Schizosaccharomyces pombe: one gene and its partners. The protein of the gene in region 2 purifies or fractionates together with the protein of the main gene of each other region. This does not show direct contact. Each region holds a gene or a part of one and is shown on either strand. Other genes may lie near its edges. The genes, in order: ade4, cbs2 and ppk9.

Region 1 (6,705 bases), 1.6 Mb from region 2:
TTACAATATACATAGCTTCTTTAGAGCTTTGAGCAATGTTCCGTAATATATCTTTCAAACAAAGAATATCAAGATTGACACTTTCGTGTAAATCTTCAATGCAAAGTAAATTAAAAATAGACTCTCCATTGTTAATTCTCAGAAAGCCCCGATACGAAGGATTTCGCAATAAATTGTAATGTTCGGCAAAAGAACAAATGGCTTGAACACTCTTATTGACTAATGAAATCGGGATGTTCCCAGGGTGTTTTTCGGAAACAGGCAGATGCGACACTAGGTATATGTCTTTTTCAATAAAATCTAGGTAAGTGTTCAGTAGAGGGTTAACAGAATCATTTATATCCTGTATTTTAAGATCATAAGTACTCATTAAATTTCTATCCCAAAAATGTAATAAAACATCTTCAGGGCTAATTGGATTTTGATAAAGAAGTGTCTTTGCCTCTGTAAGGTTTGACTGTAGCTTTAGCAATGGCATTATAGAATCACGTTCATTATATGTTGAAGAGGAATTACCAAATTTGGATTTAAACAGAGATTTCGCTTGTTCCAAGTGTTTGCCAAAACTTATATTAAAATTTGAAGGAATGAACCGAAAAGGAATTCTGTCTACGAAATCCTTATAAAAAAACTTAATATTTACTCGTCCATCATTAGGTATTAGTAAAAACAACGAGAAAAGCAAAAGAAATGAGAGTAAAAAGCTAACTTTTCGACGGTTCAAAAGAAACTTTATGATGGAAAATACAGTGCTGATAAATTCTAAAGCTTGCTTACAATAGTAAACGAAGAAAAAGATCGACTTTTTAAAGAATGTGTTAGAGATATTTCTAGATATGTTTGAGTTGACATCTGACTGCAGGCCACGGCTCAAAGGCGAAGGGTCGTTCACAGACAATTCGTCGCTTGCATGATTGGGAGTAGAGTGATTCTGATGCACTAATGCATCATTCGCTATCAAAAGCTGTTCCATGTCAAAAAAATCATTAGAGGATGCCTGTCGCTTTCTAGACATCATCACAAAAGGCACTGATGATATCGAAATCCCCTCTCTTCGGAATCATTCAACACGAGTTTCGCCAAAACAGTGAGTTGTATTGAAACATAGACTTAAATTAATAGGTTTTTAGTTATTGATTAAACGAAAGAATGCTTTTACCGTTATACGCATTTATATAAAGAAATGAAGAAGTTGGTGGACTATACAAGTAAAAACGTCGAAAGAGTTTGTAACATAATTATGCAAATAGTACAAACAGACTTTGAATTATGTTTCATTTTATGAAAAGGTTAAGAGACCAAAAAAAAAAAACCAATATTGTATATTATTGCATGTTTATAAAAGTGTGTAGAAAATTTTTTTCAGACACTACTTATAATCTAATAGTCTTAAAGAGTATGGGTAAACTTATATATTGAAACAATATATATTAATTGGTAACAAAAAGTAAAATTAACAACAAGGAGCTGATGAAATTATCTTTAATTTCAAGAAAAGTTTCAAGAGGACAAAAATTCAGAAATTAAAATCAACCAAAAAACCATTGATGGGGCGATTGTACATTCTATTAGTATTCAACAATGGATTAGAGCATCAATCTAGACAAAGTAAATGGAGGATTGGTTATTATAATAAAGCACTAAGCATTGAATAAATTGGGGAATTAAACAAAATCAAAAGTAACATCTGAATGTGTGTTATGGAGAGAAATGTCTTCGGGAGCTTCACGTTCCTCATCTTCTGCAAAGCTATGCTTACGAGCACGATTGTTAGCAATACGCATTTGCTCAAGATGGACTAAATATTCTTTACTAGCGCCAGTAGTGTATTCGCCAGTAAAGAGACCAACTTCAAATTCGGTCAGCTCAGCCGTACGACAAGAATCTAATAAATCTTCTAATGTTTGATAAATGACACCATCGGCACTAATTGCTTCAGCAACCTCATCCTCAGTTTTTCCATAAGCAATGAGATCCTTACAATCAGCGAGATCAATACCGTAGACATGAGGATGAGTGATCATAGGAGCGCAACTAGCCAAATAGACATTCTTTGCACCCGACTCCCTAGCCATTTGAACGATCTCACGAGAGGTGGTACCACGAACAATACTGTCATCCACAATTAAAACATTCTTATCAAAAAACTCTTGAGGTTGAACATTTAATTTACGACGAACCGATTTACGACGAATCTGTTGACCTGGCATAATGAAGGTACGACCAATATATCGGTTTTTAATAAAAGCTTCGACGTATGGCAGTTGAGCTGTCTGTGCAAGTGCAAGGGCACTGGTTCGAGCAGAATCTGGAACAGGAATGACAGCATCAATTTTTTCCATGTAATCGGGACCAAACCGTTTCATTATAGTATGCGCTAACTTTTCACCCATATTTAAACGGGATTGGTATACGGACAATCCGTCAATAACAGAGTCGGGACGAGCGAAATAGACATACTCAAATATATCGGGAGTAAATCTTAGGCAGGGAAGGATTTGACGAGAAAACAAGCGAGGGCCTCTAAACCCTGCAAGTATATCTTCCCTATTGGAACGACGAATAAAGACACACTCACCGGGGCGAATATCTCTGAATGTACGGTATCCAAATTGAGTCAATACAACACTCTCACTAGCAAGCATGTAATCCTTTCCTTCGGGGGTATCACGTTCACCGATCACTAAAGGACGAATGCCATTGGGATCACGGAATCCCAAAACACCCAAGCCTGCGATCATAGCAACACATGCATAACCACCATTAACGCGATCGTATACATTACGCAAAGCTTCGAAAATATCATTTTCGTTTATACGAAATTTATCCAACCGTTGAAGCTCGTAAGCAAAGATGTTAAGCAAAAGCTCAGAATCAGATCCAGTGTTTACATGACGATGGGCCTCAGTGTCCAAAAAGCGTCGTAATTCGGGTCCATTAATTAAATTACCATTATGGCCCAACACAAGACCATAAGGAGAGTTAACATAAAAGGGTTGTGCTTCAGAGTGAGCACAACTTCCAGCAGTAGGATAGCGCAAATGACCAATACCCATACTACCTACGAGTTGGCGAAGTTGATGCTGACTAAAAACATCGGCAACCATGCCGGATCCCTTGCATTGGTAAAGACGACCTTTGTTTCCAGCGGTTACAATACCGGCGGCATCTTGACCCCGATGCTGCAAACTGTAAAGACCCTCATAAATTTCAGGACATGCCTGTTGATGAGGGTCAGCAAGCATTAACGCCAAAATTCCGCACATTTTCTAAAACTTGTTAGAGCTTCGGTTGTGAATTGAATACAAAAGATAATAAAATGATAGGTTTAAATGTACAAAAGAAAAAACAGCACCCAGTCAAATTGCTATAACTTGATTAAAATAATATGAGTCGGACTGTTCTATTCGGACAGCAATCAAAGTTTGAGAATACTTGGAATATAATTTCAATTTTTTTGTACCGACCGTAAAATGAGTTGTATGTTACCATCACAGAAAATAAAAAATTTTAATCAATTAAGCAGACCTCAGAAAACCTTGTAGCTACATAAGATGAAATTCAGAAGTCTAGCATCTAAATAAACGGTAATCATCATAGGCAAGTACTGCGGCGTTGGAAAATCAATATCTATATTAACTTACTTTTTAAAACGCGTACGAAACAAAAAAAAAAAGATTTTCAGGTACGCGCTGAACAAACACCGTAGTTGGGTATATTGTTAAGGCAAAATTTTGCTGCCGTATAAATTAATTTATTGTCCGCCTTAAATGATAGTGAAGTATGAGTCGAAACTATGACTGCTCAAGATTGTGATGAACGATTCGCTAAATAGAAGCTTAAAGAGAGGTGGGATATGCGCACGTTAATATAGGTAACAGGTATAGCTTGCTACTTAGCTGACAGGGTAGATGATATTAAATTGTTTGCTATTTTTGTTGCCAAAAAAAATTTTTTAAGCTTAAAAATATATCTTTAAATAAAACCTTCTTATATCAAAAAAAATTCGATGAAGTTAAGAGTGGTGCAGTGTTACAGTAATGCCGCATACACATCAACTTATTATTGAGCTTTACCGGAGGTATCCCATTACTATTTATTTGTTATAAAATCTTTCAATGTTCTGGTTTTTCTTCCTTCTTTACTCGGTAGTTAACAACAATACATTAATCACCGAGATGAGAGCTATGGGTAATCTAATCCAAAACTTTTAGTTCAACTTGTTACGATTGCAGTAGTCCAATGGTTTTTAAACTTAAAAAACTAATGAAAACAATACACAATGTACTGTATCTCTAATCTTCTGATTCCTCAAAATAATAGTTTACTAACCGGCTTCAAATATTTGTTCCTTAATTGGTGTACAGAGGATCATTTTCTGAGCGCTTGATTGATATTTTTTACTATCGGATTGATTATAAACCAGGATCGCGAAAACGTACCGATTTATAAATCGTTGATTATTAAAACATCTTTTTTAATATTGCACATTAAACAAAATTACAAGTGCAAAGCAATAATTAGTTTTCAAGCAGCTCCACATTTTGAGTTGGTAAATCATTTTAAAAAAAAATCATCAATAGTTCATATTTCATGAATACATTTTTCTAAACACAAATATAAATTCAGCACATTTTTATTTCAGATAGTGATGTGTAACGTGTAAACTTTTGGCTCGTTAGTAGGGATCTAGGAAAGTAAGGTTTTCCATCTTCATCAAATATTGGCGTACTGCAAAAAAACCCAATAATTCGTCTTCTATCAGGTTATAAAAGATTTTGGCTTCAAAGCATCCTTTTAGGTAAAAACCTTTTGTAAAAGCATCCAACGCCTTGAAGAACAACATCTCACAATGTCGTTGTATGAGCATGCTGCACTTCCTTTAGCCAGTAGCCCTTCAATCCTTGGACCTATTTCTGGTGGACGAAATCGGGGGAATATTCAATTACAGTCTATTCCGATTGAATTTCAAGCTGTTGTTTTTGCAGGATTTGGCAATAGGTAAAACAAACAAGTGTAGTACTGACTACTTAACGATTTGGATAATGATGACTTCGCACATATTATCTTCATCAACACTTAAAAAAGATAAAATAACAATAAGAAAATACTAACCATGTTTTAGTTTATATCCTTTGACTGGAAGCGATGCACTTCCCAAGGCTTTATTACCTATCGGCAATAAACCGATGCTTCACTACCCATTATATTGGCTTGAAGCTGCTGGATTTACTTCTGCTATTCTTATTTGCATGGAAGAAGCGGAAGCCCATATCAATGCTTGGTTACGATCTGGCTACGAGGGACATATGCGTATTCACGTGGAAGCACCGACTATTTTAGATGATTCTAAAAGCTCTGCCGATGCTCTTCGTGCTGTATCCCATCTTATAAAGGTATGATTTATTTTTATGTATAAGTAGATATGCATGTGTTCTTAGACTTTTTGATCTTTTCTCTCTCATTCTGCAATTTAATTACTCGTCTTAAAGTCACAAAAAATGCTAACCGATACCCACCAGAATGACTTTGTGTGTCTCAGTTGTGATAGTATAGTTGGTCTCCCTCCCATATACGGTTTGGATAAGTTTCGCCTTGATAACCCTTCAGCACTGGCTGTATATAGTCCAGTGTTAAAATATGAGCATATTACAAGTCAATCTAAAGAGATTGATGCAAAACAACTGATTGGAATTGAAGAGAAGACGAGCAGACTATTGTATGCCAAAAGTTCCGCAGACGTGGGCAGTGATTTTACATTTAGAATGTCTTTGTTGTGGAAACACCCAAGGGTTACGTTAAATACAAACCTTTCGGATGCCCATATATTTGTATTTAAACACTGGGTTATTGATTTGATCCGGGAGAAAGAATCTATTTCTAGCATTCGTGGAGATCTCATCCCGTATCTTGTTAAATGTCAATATCAGAAATCCTTTACTGTACGAGAGAACATTCAAAGATGTAAGTGCTTTTTTTAATTAACTATTTTCTAACAATTAAAGTTTTGTCATCTCCTAACAATATTGATAATTATGATGGGGGATTATCCTCACAGGAAATTAAAATTAATGCTTTAATTGCCAAAGATGGGATTATTTGTTCTAGGGCTAATAATTTACCTAACTATTTCGAACTTAATAAATGCGTATGTTTTCGAAAGCTGAGCTTCATCTCGCTTTTTAGCAGTTTCATCCAATATCTCTAACAGCAAACTAGATCGCCAAACTTACTCCAGAACAACGCCTTGTAGATGTCACCGTGTCCGAAAGAGCACTGGTCGGTGCCGATTGTATGGTGAATGAAGGTACCACCATTAAGGATAACAGCAACATTAAAAAGAGCATTATCGGTAAAAATTGTGTAATTGGAAAAGGGGTAGTGGTCAGCAACTCTATTTTGATGGACAACATTGTTGTTGAAGACGGAGTACGTTTAGAATCTTGCATAGTCGCCTCAGGTGCTCAAATAGGCGCTAAGTCAAAACTTCGTGAATGCGAAATTGGCGTTGATCATCGCGTTGAAGCTGGCCGTATCGCTCGGGGTGAGCGGCTGGTTGATATGGAAAAAATTGAGACGGACATGGACTAATACTGTGTATCAAACCGTTGTCAGCCAACCTTTTTTTTGAAATAGATATAATAAAAATTTCGTGCACTTACTCTACAAAGTGTGTCTAAACTAATCAAGGTAAAGGTGATATTA
Region 2 (5,841 bases):
CAAAAACACATTTTTTGAAATATTTTTCTGTGCGAATACGACTTTCTATGTAAAATCCCGATTGATTAATTCAAATTCCTACGACACAAGGGTACCTGAAATCAACATTTATGATATTGTAGAGCTAATATAATATACCTTCCTATGAATGTTTTTGCTATAAAATTTTGTTGTAAGAGTGTCTAATGCTTTGAAGGTAGAAGGGGGCTTATTGTTTACCTTGATCGAGGGGGCTTCATCGACGCGTTACCACCATACCACTACCAGTTGCACTTACCTTCGACCAAATTCTCAAAATGGCAGTTATCCCTATTGAAGAGCGTAAATTTCCTAAGACCCTAGTTTTATTTGACGTTGATGGAACGCTCACTCCTGCACGTTTGGTAAGTTTAGATTATTGCAGTCGAGCTTTCTTGGATTCAATCTGAATAGCCGGCTTGTATCAAATTTCCTATTTTCCAATCACATTCTCTATGGTCATCACCATTATTTAATCAGAGATGGCTTGAAAGGAAGTTTTAATTATCCAAAATATTTCGGGAGCAAGCTATTCATGCTCTATGACCTAGTTTATTTCTCTTTCCATTTTGTAATAACAAGACTAACATTTTAAAGAGTGTCTCCCCTGAAATGCTCGAAACTTTGCAAAATCTTCGCAAGGTTGTCGCTATCGGCTTCGTAGGCGGTAGTGATTTGAGCAAGCAACAAGAGCAACTGAGTGTCAACGGTGAAAACGTAATTGATTCTTTTGATTATGCGTTTGCTGAAAACGGATTAACTGCTTATCGTTATGGACAGCAATTAGCTAGTCAGTCATTCATCGCCTGGTTGGGAGAAGAAAAATACCAAAAACTGGTTAATTTCTGCTTACATTACATTGCTGATCTGGATATTCCCGTGAAGCGTGGTACTTTCATTGAATTCCGCAACGGTATGATCAACATATCTCCTGTAGGACGCAATGCCAATACTGAGGAACGCAATGAATTTGAACGTTTTGATAAGGGTCGTAAAATTCGCGCTACCATGGTCGATGTTCTTCGCGAAAAATTCAAGGATTATGGATTGACATTTTCCATTGGAGGTCAAATCTCTTTTGATGTGTTCCCTGCTGGTTGGGATAAGACATATTGCTTGCAACACGTAGAGAAAGAGGGATTTGATACAATTCACTTTTTTGGAGACAAGACATACAAAGGCGGCAATGATTATGAAATTTTTGTCGACCCTCGTACTATCGGACATTCTGTTACTAATCCTGACGATACCATTGCTGAACTCAAGAAAATTTTTAACATATAGATGAGTTTGTAGTGTGTTGATTAGATATGCGTCCCTCTCTTATCATTACGGAAAAGGTTAGCTTTCTTAGTTGTAAATAACTACTTCATATGCTCGGCGAGTGTGAAGTTTCTTGCACACAATTGATCTGTCATTTAACTCGTACATCTTCCATAATTATTGGTAGCATGGAATGCGAAGAACATTAAATTATTGTAATCTACTGCCAACGCAGCTTTTAATACTCATACCTGAACAATATGCATATATGAAAGAATATTTACAAGAAAATTACACTTACGATCGGTTAATTGATGCATTCCTAGAAAAATGCGAACTTAGTAGCTAATGAAAGGCATGTGTTAGTTATTTAATTAGATAGGCATTAGCATAATGGTACAAGTCACATCATATTATATAGACAGAAGTTGTAATAACCGAATTAATACTTTTTGAAATAAAAGAAGCCTCATTCGAGTACACTGAATTAGATACCACCTCGAGCTGCCATGCAAAAAAAAAGAAACAACTCAACGGTTTAACTTCAAATATCATGAGACTTGGCAATGTTTTCAACAGATTATGAATGCATTCAGGCTGAAGCGCACGAGAATCAAATTATACGGCAGATTCAAAATTATCAGTTTGTTCGGGAACGCCGGGCGTAGTCGTTTTATCGTATATTATGTAATTTAAAATATCAGCCAAAGATAAAATACCTTCGAGCTTCAAGTTTTCATCAACCACGAAAAGACGATGAACCCTGGAATGCTTAATAGCATCAAAAATACCATCCAAACGATCAGTAGCTCGACAAGTGTGGACGCCATCAAAGTTAGCTGGTCTTTTCAATAAAGCCTCGCCTACGCTCAAGTCTAAATTACTATAATCACCATCTTGTATAAGATGCATTACATCCACCGATTCATAGACATTTAGCAGGGTACCTGCTCAGTTAATATATAAATTATTCACAGAAAAAATTCAAAACATCTCACAAACCTTCAGAATTAACGATTGGGACGGCAGATATATTCTTTTCGGCAAGCATTTTAATAACATCATAGACTTTCGTTTCCATAGACGCGGTAGCTAAATTTGACCATGTCCCAATTGTCATTTGGTTTAATGGTACCCGTAGCATTGCGGTTTCTTTGCACTAAATTTGAAATTAGTAAATATAAAAACATAACACGATTTACGAACATTCATGGAGATAAATTTCAAAATTCGATATTGTGTCAAAACAGATACAATCATTTCGCTGCCTGTCTCGCCATCTACGTCAATTAAAGGAATTCTTCTAGCACGGCTCTTTGACATGGCTAAGCAAGCATCCATAAGACTATGCATTGGATGAACATATATAGTTTCCGGAGGAATGGCGCCAATCTTTCTTTCCACTTCACGAAGTCCCAACAATCGAAATTTGTCAATCTCAGCTATAGCCTCGGGAAATGAAGAGCTTTGGTAATAATACTTAATAACATTGACGAAATCCGCCATCGTTAAAAGGCCCGCAAACTTATTCGCTTCACTGTCCCATAAAGGAGCACTGACGATATCTAAGACGTGATTAATAAGTTGATTTCACATCTGTAATGAAAAATCTTTCGTACTGTTTAATGTAAGAAGAGAAAGTGATGTTTTTACAAAAAGCGTAACATCGAACACGATTAAACGGAAGGACGTAGGCAAAACATCGTAACTTGTACGCGAGCGTATAAATGCTTGAATTTCTTTCTGTACATCACATAGATTAATAATTATTTCTATTTAATAAAAAATCTATTCCATATCACTTACGAGTGCTCCTTTTTGGGTCTCTTGAACGTCTGTCATGACCTCGTCAAAGGATATATGGTGTGGTTGGTAAAAGAGACTAGATAAATGAGCGAGGGGAATGGTAACCCGCACAAGGGCAACAAATCGAGGTGTTAAGTAATTAGTTGCAAATAGTACAATGCCTAAATTATGCGTATTTGTTAGTGCTTTTAAATGATATATTTCACTTAGGGGAATATTGTAGCTAAACTCGTTGATTTAAACTGCTTATATAGTTTACTATTTAAACGTAACAATATACATTGACAAAATTAAATGCAACTAGTCTATTAACTCAATGATAAGATTGATTAAAAGGCTTAACAATTAAGCATAAATTTAATCCAATAGTCGTCCGCTACAAAAATAACATCGTCGAGCAAAAATTTCCCAAATCTTTAGTACTAACAGTAAACTATAGTTTCGACTGTAACAAAGTTTCAATGGCTACCGGGTCGTCTAGTGTCGCCATAACAAAAGTTTGGCTATTCCTCGTAAAGGACTTGAATTATCAACTTCGATAAAAAGCAAAAAAATACACTAAATTAATGGTAAAATACCAAATTTCAAACCATATCCTTACTTACTAAATTATTTCGGCCTGTTAATATATAAATAGATTCATGAATTTTAGCACACACGTTTTAAAACATCGATACCTCAATCTTCCATTCAACCAAATACAAAATCGATAAAAAAACACTAATTTCAATTTGAACATGATTATAAGCTAGCATAATTAATTATTATCAGAACAAAAACCCCTGTTCTAATCCTAATGAAATTTTGTGAAAACTAATTCACAAAACTATAAAATTTAGACATGATATCATGTTCCCAGTTAGAAACTCCCTTATAAGAACCCAAATTTGCATTTAGAACTTCTCAGAAACAAGACCGTCCTTGAAGAAGATCATGTAGGGAGTAATACCATCCTCACGGTAGTTCATTAAGACAACCATTGCGTCGGGATCCATGCTCTCACCAATGTAAAAGTCGTAGTCCTTGAAGTTAGCCAAAATCTTCTTGACGAATCCAATGGCATTCTTCTCGAAAACAGGAACACGCTCGGGGTTGCTTTCTTGAAGACGAGCCTTGATAGCCTTCATGTAACCCTTGATGTAAGACATATAGGACTTCTTGTCAAAAGAAGTAGGGCTTAAACGGAAAGAGTAAACAAGATTGTTTACAGTCTCAGTACCCTCTTCAGCATTCTCCTCAGCATCCTCGGCAGAAGGGTTGGCACCAATGTCAACATCACCACCTTGCTTGACAGTGACCATTTGGCAATCAGCCTCGTAGACAATATCGTCTACCTCCTTCAAGTCGTAGGCGTCAGAAACGAGTTCGTCTCCAGAAATAACGTCCTTGTACAACAACATGGTGATTGCAGATGGTAGCTCATAATTTGACTTCTCGCAGGTTTAATGAGATAAAGCAGTCACAGTTTAGGGCAGGGTTACTGGATTCTAGCCATCCGTATGGAATGCGGTTACGAACAGTATTCACTTTACGTAGTACAGCGTTGTTTTCGATAGATACATTTTGTTTACCAATTCCTTCATTTTTTTCAATTTGTCGTAGTCTGTTCTCCTTTCTTTTAAATAACAATATTCTTTATATTTTCAGATTTTTTTTTAGATGAAAATATCGTTGTACTCAGTCAGTAGTAAATTGTTTTATATTACTGAATCTGATTTTTTGAGTGAAACCATTATGATGCGTGTAAAATTAAGATTAAAGCTGGAATTAAAGTCCAAATGAATTCAACAATTGAACCATATTTAACAGTATGTGTATTAATCTCTATGTTCTTTAATCAACTTGTAACCATTTATGTCGCCTCAAATTTATTATTCGAGCTATTATCCGTCAATTCTTGAGTCGTAATTAGAACATTCTCAACAGTACTGAGCTTCAGAAGAAACCTAAAAAAGTAGTGCATTATAGTTGATAATAATTCCTTAACGTTTATATATGATATACTTAAAAGTATGATATCGTACATCCTCAATTTGAAATTGCAGGGCCATTAAAAACACTCGTTAATAAAGATATTCAGTTCAATTAGAAAAAAATGACAAGGTACATTTTGGTGACAAACAAAGAGTAACTTAATGTTTTCCGTTGATTAAATTTTCGATCAATATCCCAAAATTTAAAACGCTTTAATGGAATGGATTAACGATTAAAATCGACTTCATTTCTAAAACCTTTCAAGCTTTAAACCGATTCAGTCCCTTCATTTAGAATGGCATATTTCGATTTTTGCTGAAAAAACCAAGACGACTGTTACCACTTTTGTTTACTACTTTACTCACATAGACATTCGAGAAAACGAAAAATAGTTGAGCACGAATAGAATTACATGAAAAAAGTAACTTCTATTTAAATTTAAAAAGCTCATTCGTAACTAAGCTCTTTTATTGTGCAAAGAGAGGATTAGTTTTCTAGTTTGTACAATTGCGCTGAAAAGACCAAGAACTCCAATTTGGTGTTTGTGTAAACCAGCTCCATTTTCTACAGACCAGTGAATACACAAAGGAAGGCTAGCCAAGTTTGAAGCTAAGTCTAACTGATGCTCCTTTTCGTCTTCTGTTTTTTCACGCAAAAGCTGGTAAATGGTCAATAAAGTATCGAGAAGCCAAAATCTAGAAGACCAAAGCCATAATTTGTCTTCCAACGGTTTTGATATGGAAATAATCTGTTTGCCGCCTAAGAATGCCAATCCTTCTG
Region 3 (6,207 bases), 2.2 Mb from region 2:
GAAACAGAAGGCTTTTGAACCTCTTCATCGCTTTTAGCATTGGCAAAACTGGAATCATCCGGTGATGAAGAATCCATTAAATCATGGAATGGCTGTTTTCTTTTGATATCGTTTTCTTTATTGCTTTCAACTTCGGGAAGAGGCGGTGACCGAGAAGACTCATCTACTGTTGAGGCGAGAGAAGTTGCATTCAACTGTTCATGTGGAGCTGAAGAGTTGGATGATGTATCGGAAATAGAAGAAGTGTCAGAATCACGATCTGCATCAAGGGAAGTGCTATTAGAAGAAGTTTTCATTATTGGAATATCGGAATCAGAGATGTCCTCCACCTTTTCATTATGAGCAACACTTGATTTAGTAGCATCAGCTGCGTGAGCACCCGACTCAGAATAGTGATTCAATTGAGAAGTTGTGCTTTCATAATCTTCAGCGTCGTACCAATGTTGCTCAAAATTGGAATCCATAGACATGCGTGACGAAGGAGAAGATTGCGCCGTACGTTCTTTAGTATATTCATGGTGTTGAATAAAGCATTCCAGTTCATGCAACAAAGACCCGAGTTGACGAGTAACCTTGCGTAAAGTAACCGCAGCTTGCGCGTTTTCAGCAGCAGTAATTTCCACTGAAGTACGGGTTTCCTTGTTTTCTTTGGCATCACCGGGAAGTTGTATACGGATCTCAGGGACAGAAAAATTATGACTTGAAGCCGATTTGATACGACTGGTGCGATACAATTGAGCAATATCCAGGCATTCACGTAGTCTTGAGTAAATAGAGACTAACTGATTGGATGACGATTCTTGTGTCCTTTCGTCTACTACGAGCTTTGAAGAAGTTTGACTATTTTTCGCCTTTTCCAAAGCATTGCACCAACGTAGCCAATCTTGGTGAGTATGTGCTCGTAGGTTCCACAGTTCTACGCCTGAATCAACGTTGATCTCATGCGTCTCTGCAGCAACGCTAATCACAGCAATGCTCAAGGGAATTTTACCGCGCATTACCGAAGAATTTTCGTTAGCATAGTATGAGATCGTGCCTTCCACCATGTTGAGAGTGAAGTAACGTCGAGCATAGCCTTGGCCCTTCTTTCGGCGCTTTTTAAGCAAGGTTCCAGAAATAATTTGTTTAGGAGAGCCATGGACTGATGCATTTGGTATTCTCGGACCGTTGTATGGTTGCGCGGTCAAGAGGAAGGTCACAGTTTTTGGTTTTGTTTTCGAAAAAGTGTTATCAAACACGAAGGCATAAAGTCCTCCATTCTCAATGTAGACAGAGCCCTCACTAGGCTTTTCCGACATACATCGCTCTCCTTGATAAAATAATTCTAACCCAGCAGCACTCAACTTCTTGATACCAGCTTCGTGAGTGTGTTGACGCTTTGTATGCAGGATGGAACGATCGGTGTTTTTGTTGGATCCATCTAGCAAGCTAGATGTGTCATTCTTTTTATGATATATATCAAACTTTATGCTTTTCCGTTTCACATGCAGTTGCCAACTCAGTAAGGAATTCGATTCCACCGTGAGCCATTGTATCAACAGACTCTTACTTCGTATCTCCACAGTTTCCATGTTGACTCATGGACTTCTACTGTGATAATTGCAAAACTTAGAAAGCCTATTTTTTTCAATTGATGACTGGAGAGGAATAAAATAATTGCCTAAACGTATGTGGTAAGAGATGGATTTTCGGTTTCGGGATTTTCGGGCGAATGACTCCAAGGTATTTTACCGATGCGGAACGTTCGGTTTTTTGGCGGCCACCTAATGTAATGTATACTTAAGTAGTAAACAAAGGGCTGGTAGCGGCAATAGGTATGCCAGTATGTAAACGGATACAAAGAAAATTTTGCACTTATCACTTTCCGTAGTGTGTACTTGGGATGCCTCGATCGGGCTATTTCAGATATGGCAAAATATACTTTACATTAAAAAATAGCTATACAAAAACATTCGCACGGTCTGTAATATGCGGTTTTATGTTTGTCTACTAGCATTGATGGCATCGTGCGAAATAATGCGGGTTTTTGGGATTAAACCGAAAATCAAATGTTTTCTGTAGTCAAAAAATCTAGCTGTTGTAATTTTTTATTTAATTGTCTTTGAGTATTTCTATTACTGCTTTTACTAATTTTATCATTATCACGGCTGTATTGTTGTAGCTTATTGTGCAAAAAATTTTGGCTAGAAGTTGGGACGGATCTAATGATGGAAGAGGGTAAATAGAGAGTTCCCATGTACTCATAAACTTTGAAAATTGGCATAATTTCCCATAACACAATACCAGCTCGATTTTCCATTTCATAACACAAAATTTACATACCTATGCATCTGATAACCCATAGACCGCGTACCTTAATTAAATAAAGTGCAGATTGGTTGCTCGTATCGAACGCTAGCGTTGTCTGCAATGTCGCCGTGGAGATGTTTACCAAAAGATAGCACGTTACGCCATATAATCTTATTACAAGGTTGCTTTGAATCACACTACTTTGCCTCGTGCACCTTTTTTATCGCTAACAAATTAGCATCAGATGCGCGGATCATGTTTAAGTCGGACGGTATGCAGCAACATGCACATGCTAACCACCTATATACACGAATAACGAATTTCATCCTATAAAGTCAGCTGGCTCGACTTGCTATGCAAACCCCTTCTTCTGCATCGGCAGAGTCTGAAAAGGATTCAGGAAACACCTATGTTGGGCCTTGGCTTTTGGGAAGGACTTTGGGACAAGGAAACTTGGCCAAAGTGAAATGTAAGTACATGAGGTGAAATTTAGTTGACTTTGTCTTGTAGGGGCTTGTTAATAAGATAGAGTAGACTACTTATAGACAGTAGAGATAGACTACTTAGGTGTCATGGTTATCTTGCGCATCGATCGTCTTTGATTTTGTTTTTGGCAATTGTACGATGGCTAACAGTGTAGTGGGCAAGCATTTTCAAACAAATGAAAAGGTCGCATTGAAAATGGTTTACAATGATGAATTGGAAGATAAAGATACGTGGAAGCGTTTACAAAGAGAAGTGACAATCTTAAGGCAATTGCACCATCCAAACATTATCACCCTATACCAGGTGTTTCGGGTTCCCAAGTACACAGTGCTCGCACTAGAGTATATGGATACTGATTTGCACAGTATGGTGGTTAAGCATAATCGACTGGATGAATGTACCACTCGCAAGATTTTTCGACAAATTGTCCATGCCATCGATTATTGTCATCTTCATCGTGTTGCTCACCGAGATTTGAAGTTGGAAAACATTTTACTTAATAAAGATCTGGTTGTCAAGCTCACGGATTTTGGCCTTTCCAATTTTATGCTTGATGGTTCCTTTCTGAGTACCTCTTGCGGTACTCCCCATTATGCTGCTCCTGAGGTTATTCAAGGCCGTTATTATGATGGTTGTGATGTAGATGTATGGGGTTGCGGAATCTTATTGTATTTGATGCTCGTCGGCGAGTTTCCCTTTGAGGATGTAACCATCTCCAATGTATTAAGTCGCGTTTGTAAAGGAATCTACACCATTCCTAGTTTTGTATCTTCTTCAGCCTCAGATCTCATTCGTCAAATGTTAATGGTGCTTCCTACTTCACGAATCAAAGTTGCAGAAATAATGCAACATCCTTGGTTTATCGCTGATCTTCCCACGCATTCCCGTTTACCTTCCCGTACTTCATCCTTTTCTTCCAAGCATCGATCTGTCACCTTTTCTCCTCCAGATCTTGCTATTCTTTTCGACCCTTCCATAACTTCGCCTTCCAGTAGTGTAGGTCAAATTCCTCAGCCCACAGATCACTCAGCCCTATCCCCGTCAAAACCAATGTCCATTTCAGGTACTGAATCTCCTAATCCAGATCCCGCATCTTTATGTTATTCGTCGTATGAGGACTTGTATTCGGCTACTTCGTGGCATTCTGACATGGCAGAATCATCCGGATTTTTAGATCCTACTGATATTCCACCAATTCCTTCTAACGTTGAAACTTTACGCTCTTCTCTTCCACAGAGACATGCTTCATTCATGAATAAGGTCTACAACCATCCATTATCCCGACCTCCCGCCCCCAACCGACTTCGTTCTTTACGCTGGCATTATGGGATTCAAACTGCCAAAAATCCAATTGAAGTATTGAGAAAGCTATGTGAGGCTTTACTTGAGTTAGGAGCTCGGTTTCGGCCCTGTGATGAGGAATCTTTTCTAAAGGAAAATAAGTATAAAGTGTTTTCATGCATTACATGTCATAATTCTCCTGTTTATCTGGTTATTGAATTATTCTCTATTGGACCATCTGCTAGCGTGATTGATATCCGCTTTTCTAGTAGTGATGATTCTATAAAGTACACTTCATCTTACAGTCCAATGCCATTTTTAGAAGTTGTCAAACAATTGATCCTTAAAATTGCATAAGGTCAGTCGCGTAACTCAACCTAATTCCCTTTTTTATCCTTTTTTTTTCTTTTACGATTTTTTTTGTTGTAAAGCTTTTGTTTTCAATATTGTTTGCATTTACTAATATTGTGAAACTAAGTTGAATTTTGATATTTTTGTTACGACTTTCTCATTTAGTTTCAATTAGAATTCACAGTTGTTACATTTCCCTTTTGTTTTTTGAATTTGTTAGTTATTTCACAAACAATGAAGATAAACAGTTGTAATATTACAACAGAATTATGCTAATGTAATTTACTACAATCTTTTATTTTTATTCATGAAGTTAAAGAGTGAAGTAGTGTATATGCATTAAATGTGAATGTTTGTCCATACTCACAGTAATTCCTAGTACGGAATATAAAAGCAACCAATTAATTTTTGGAAATTGTGGAAGTGCCAAGTATGCCGTATACGTATATTTATTGTTCATGTGAAATTTAAGGGATAAGATGCTTCCTTTGGAAAAATGAACGTAAATAGAGGATTTGCCATATAACAAGAACAAATAATGAGATAAAAGTAAGATATGCAAAATTCTTGACACGCTCATTAGTACTTTCATTAGTGTTTCTGAATCTAGCTTCGCGAGCTTGCAAATAGTAAATTTTTCCTTTGATTTCTTCAATGAAGTCTCTTGCACGACGGATATCAGCTTCTACAGGTTCCAAGTTGTTTGCTTTTTGCAATGAAGAATAATCATCGGCGTCAGCGCCTACAGTAAACTCAAGTTTGACGGATCGCTTTTTATGTTCAGACTCTATAGCACCTACATTTAAATGTCAGTCAGAAAGCTAAACTCATAAAGGATTTCTTTTTCAAAGAAAGAAAGGGATCTAAACAACGTAAACAAATCAAAATAGCCGTTGAAGTAAATACGACTTTTAGATATAGTACCATACCTGGTGTCAAAGTATTTAGGAAGCAAATATCGAGCATAGCAGAAGCATCAACGTCAAAGGCAACACTCTTCTCGCCTAAGACATTTTGAATACTGCTATGAGTGTTGCCAGATGAATCAGTTATCATCATACTCAAGGTTTGTCCATCTCCCATATTACCAGTAGTTTTCAGATTAACAATTACAAGGTTCTTTTCTCCTACGTATTCACGAAGACAGAAAGGCTCTGGATTGGTTTTGGCAGGAATATCAAAGTTTAAAGCATGGACAACAGTCAATAATGCTAGCATAAAGAACAACGAAGATTTCAAAGAAACCATCATTTTGAAATAACTCCAAATGTTTGGGATACGATATGAACGACGTAATAACCACCACTGCTGTATACAGGTTGGCAAAAGAAAGAAATCTTGCCTGTTCTAGTTAAATGATGGTAAACCGAATGCCAAGGGGGAGTGTGCGCTGCGTCTCATTAACTTTCCTTACAGCTACAATGCAACAAAAAATACAAAAATAAGAATTCTGAGATACTTCCTTACGAATCAACTTTTATTAGTGTAAGAAATAACTCAATTTTTTTTTGCGGATCTCTTATAGCCTTAAAAAATGAGTAAGGGGCGTTGAAGGGTTTCATTTAGCAATGTAAACATAAGATAGCCATCGATATCACTAGCAAAAAGTGATAGGTTATAAAGCAAGAAAATGAATAAAAGAATGGATTTAGTTAATTTCTATACTAGTATTATGAGAAAATTAGCTTTTTCATTTTCTAATGATTATTTAATGAAAAAAAACTTACTAAAGTGATGCAAAAAATTATGTTTTGAATGCGGATAATCAACTTGAACCAAATCTTGAAAAACCATCAATTT

What was found.
Region 1: the proteins of cbs2 (region 2) and ade4 purify together in Schizosaccharomyces pombe (affinity purification with mass spectrometry, with the first as the bait; one study listed by BioGRID). This does not show direct contact.
Region 3: the proteins of cbs2 (region 2) and ppk9 purify together in Schizosaccharomyces pombe (affinity purification with mass spectrometry, with the first as the bait; one study listed by BioGRID). This does not show direct contact.

The regions. Positions count from the first base shown.
Region 1 is NC_003424.3:5,362,696-5,369,400, forward strand, and holds ade4 (amidophosphoribosyltransferase Ade4), read right to left. Parts: upstream 3,724-6,705; 5' UTR 3,645-3,723; intron 3,603-3,644; exon of another isoform or gene 3,528-3,602; intron 3,428-3,527; exon of another isoform or gene 3,270-3,427; 5' UTR 3,267-3,269; coding exon 1,665-3,266; 3' UTR 1,293-1,664; downstream 1-1,292. Other genes in the region: protein Csi2, read right to left, coding at 1-1,018; translation initiation factor eIF2B gamma subunit tif223, read left to right, coding at 4,853-5,001, 5,126-5,396, 5,523-5,964, 6,006-6,148, 6,220-6,591.
Region 2 is NC_003424.3:3,805,548-3,811,388, forward strand, and holds cbs2 (protein kinase activator), read right to left. Parts: upstream 3,156-5,841; 5' UTR 3,124-3,155; coding exon 3,088-3,123; intron 3,025-3,087; coding exon 2,901-3,024; exon of another isoform or gene 2,847-2,900; coding exon 2,488-2,846; intron 2,441-2,487; coding exon 2,284-2,440; intron 2,229-2,283; coding exon 1,900-2,228; 3' UTR 1,585-1,899; downstream 1-1,584. Other genes in the region: phosphomannomutase Pmm1, read left to right, coding at 297-383, 616-1,302; tma19 (translationally-controlled tumor protein), read right to left, coding at 3,981-4,487; SPOM_SPAC1F12.04C (uncharacterized protein), read right to left, coding at 5,519-5,841.
Region 3 is NC_003424.3:1,603,526-1,609,732, reverse strand, and holds ppk9 (serine/threonine protein kinase Ppk9), read left to right. Parts: upstream 1-2,583; 5' UTR 2,584-2,643; coding exon 2,644-2,758; intron 2,759-2,929; coding exon 2,930-4,413; 3' UTR 4,414-4,660; downstream 4,661-6,207. Other genes in the region: sterol transfer protein Osh3, read right to left, coding at 1-1,571; COPII-coated vesicle-associated protein Erv25, read right to left, coding at 4,875-5,203, 5,337-5,658.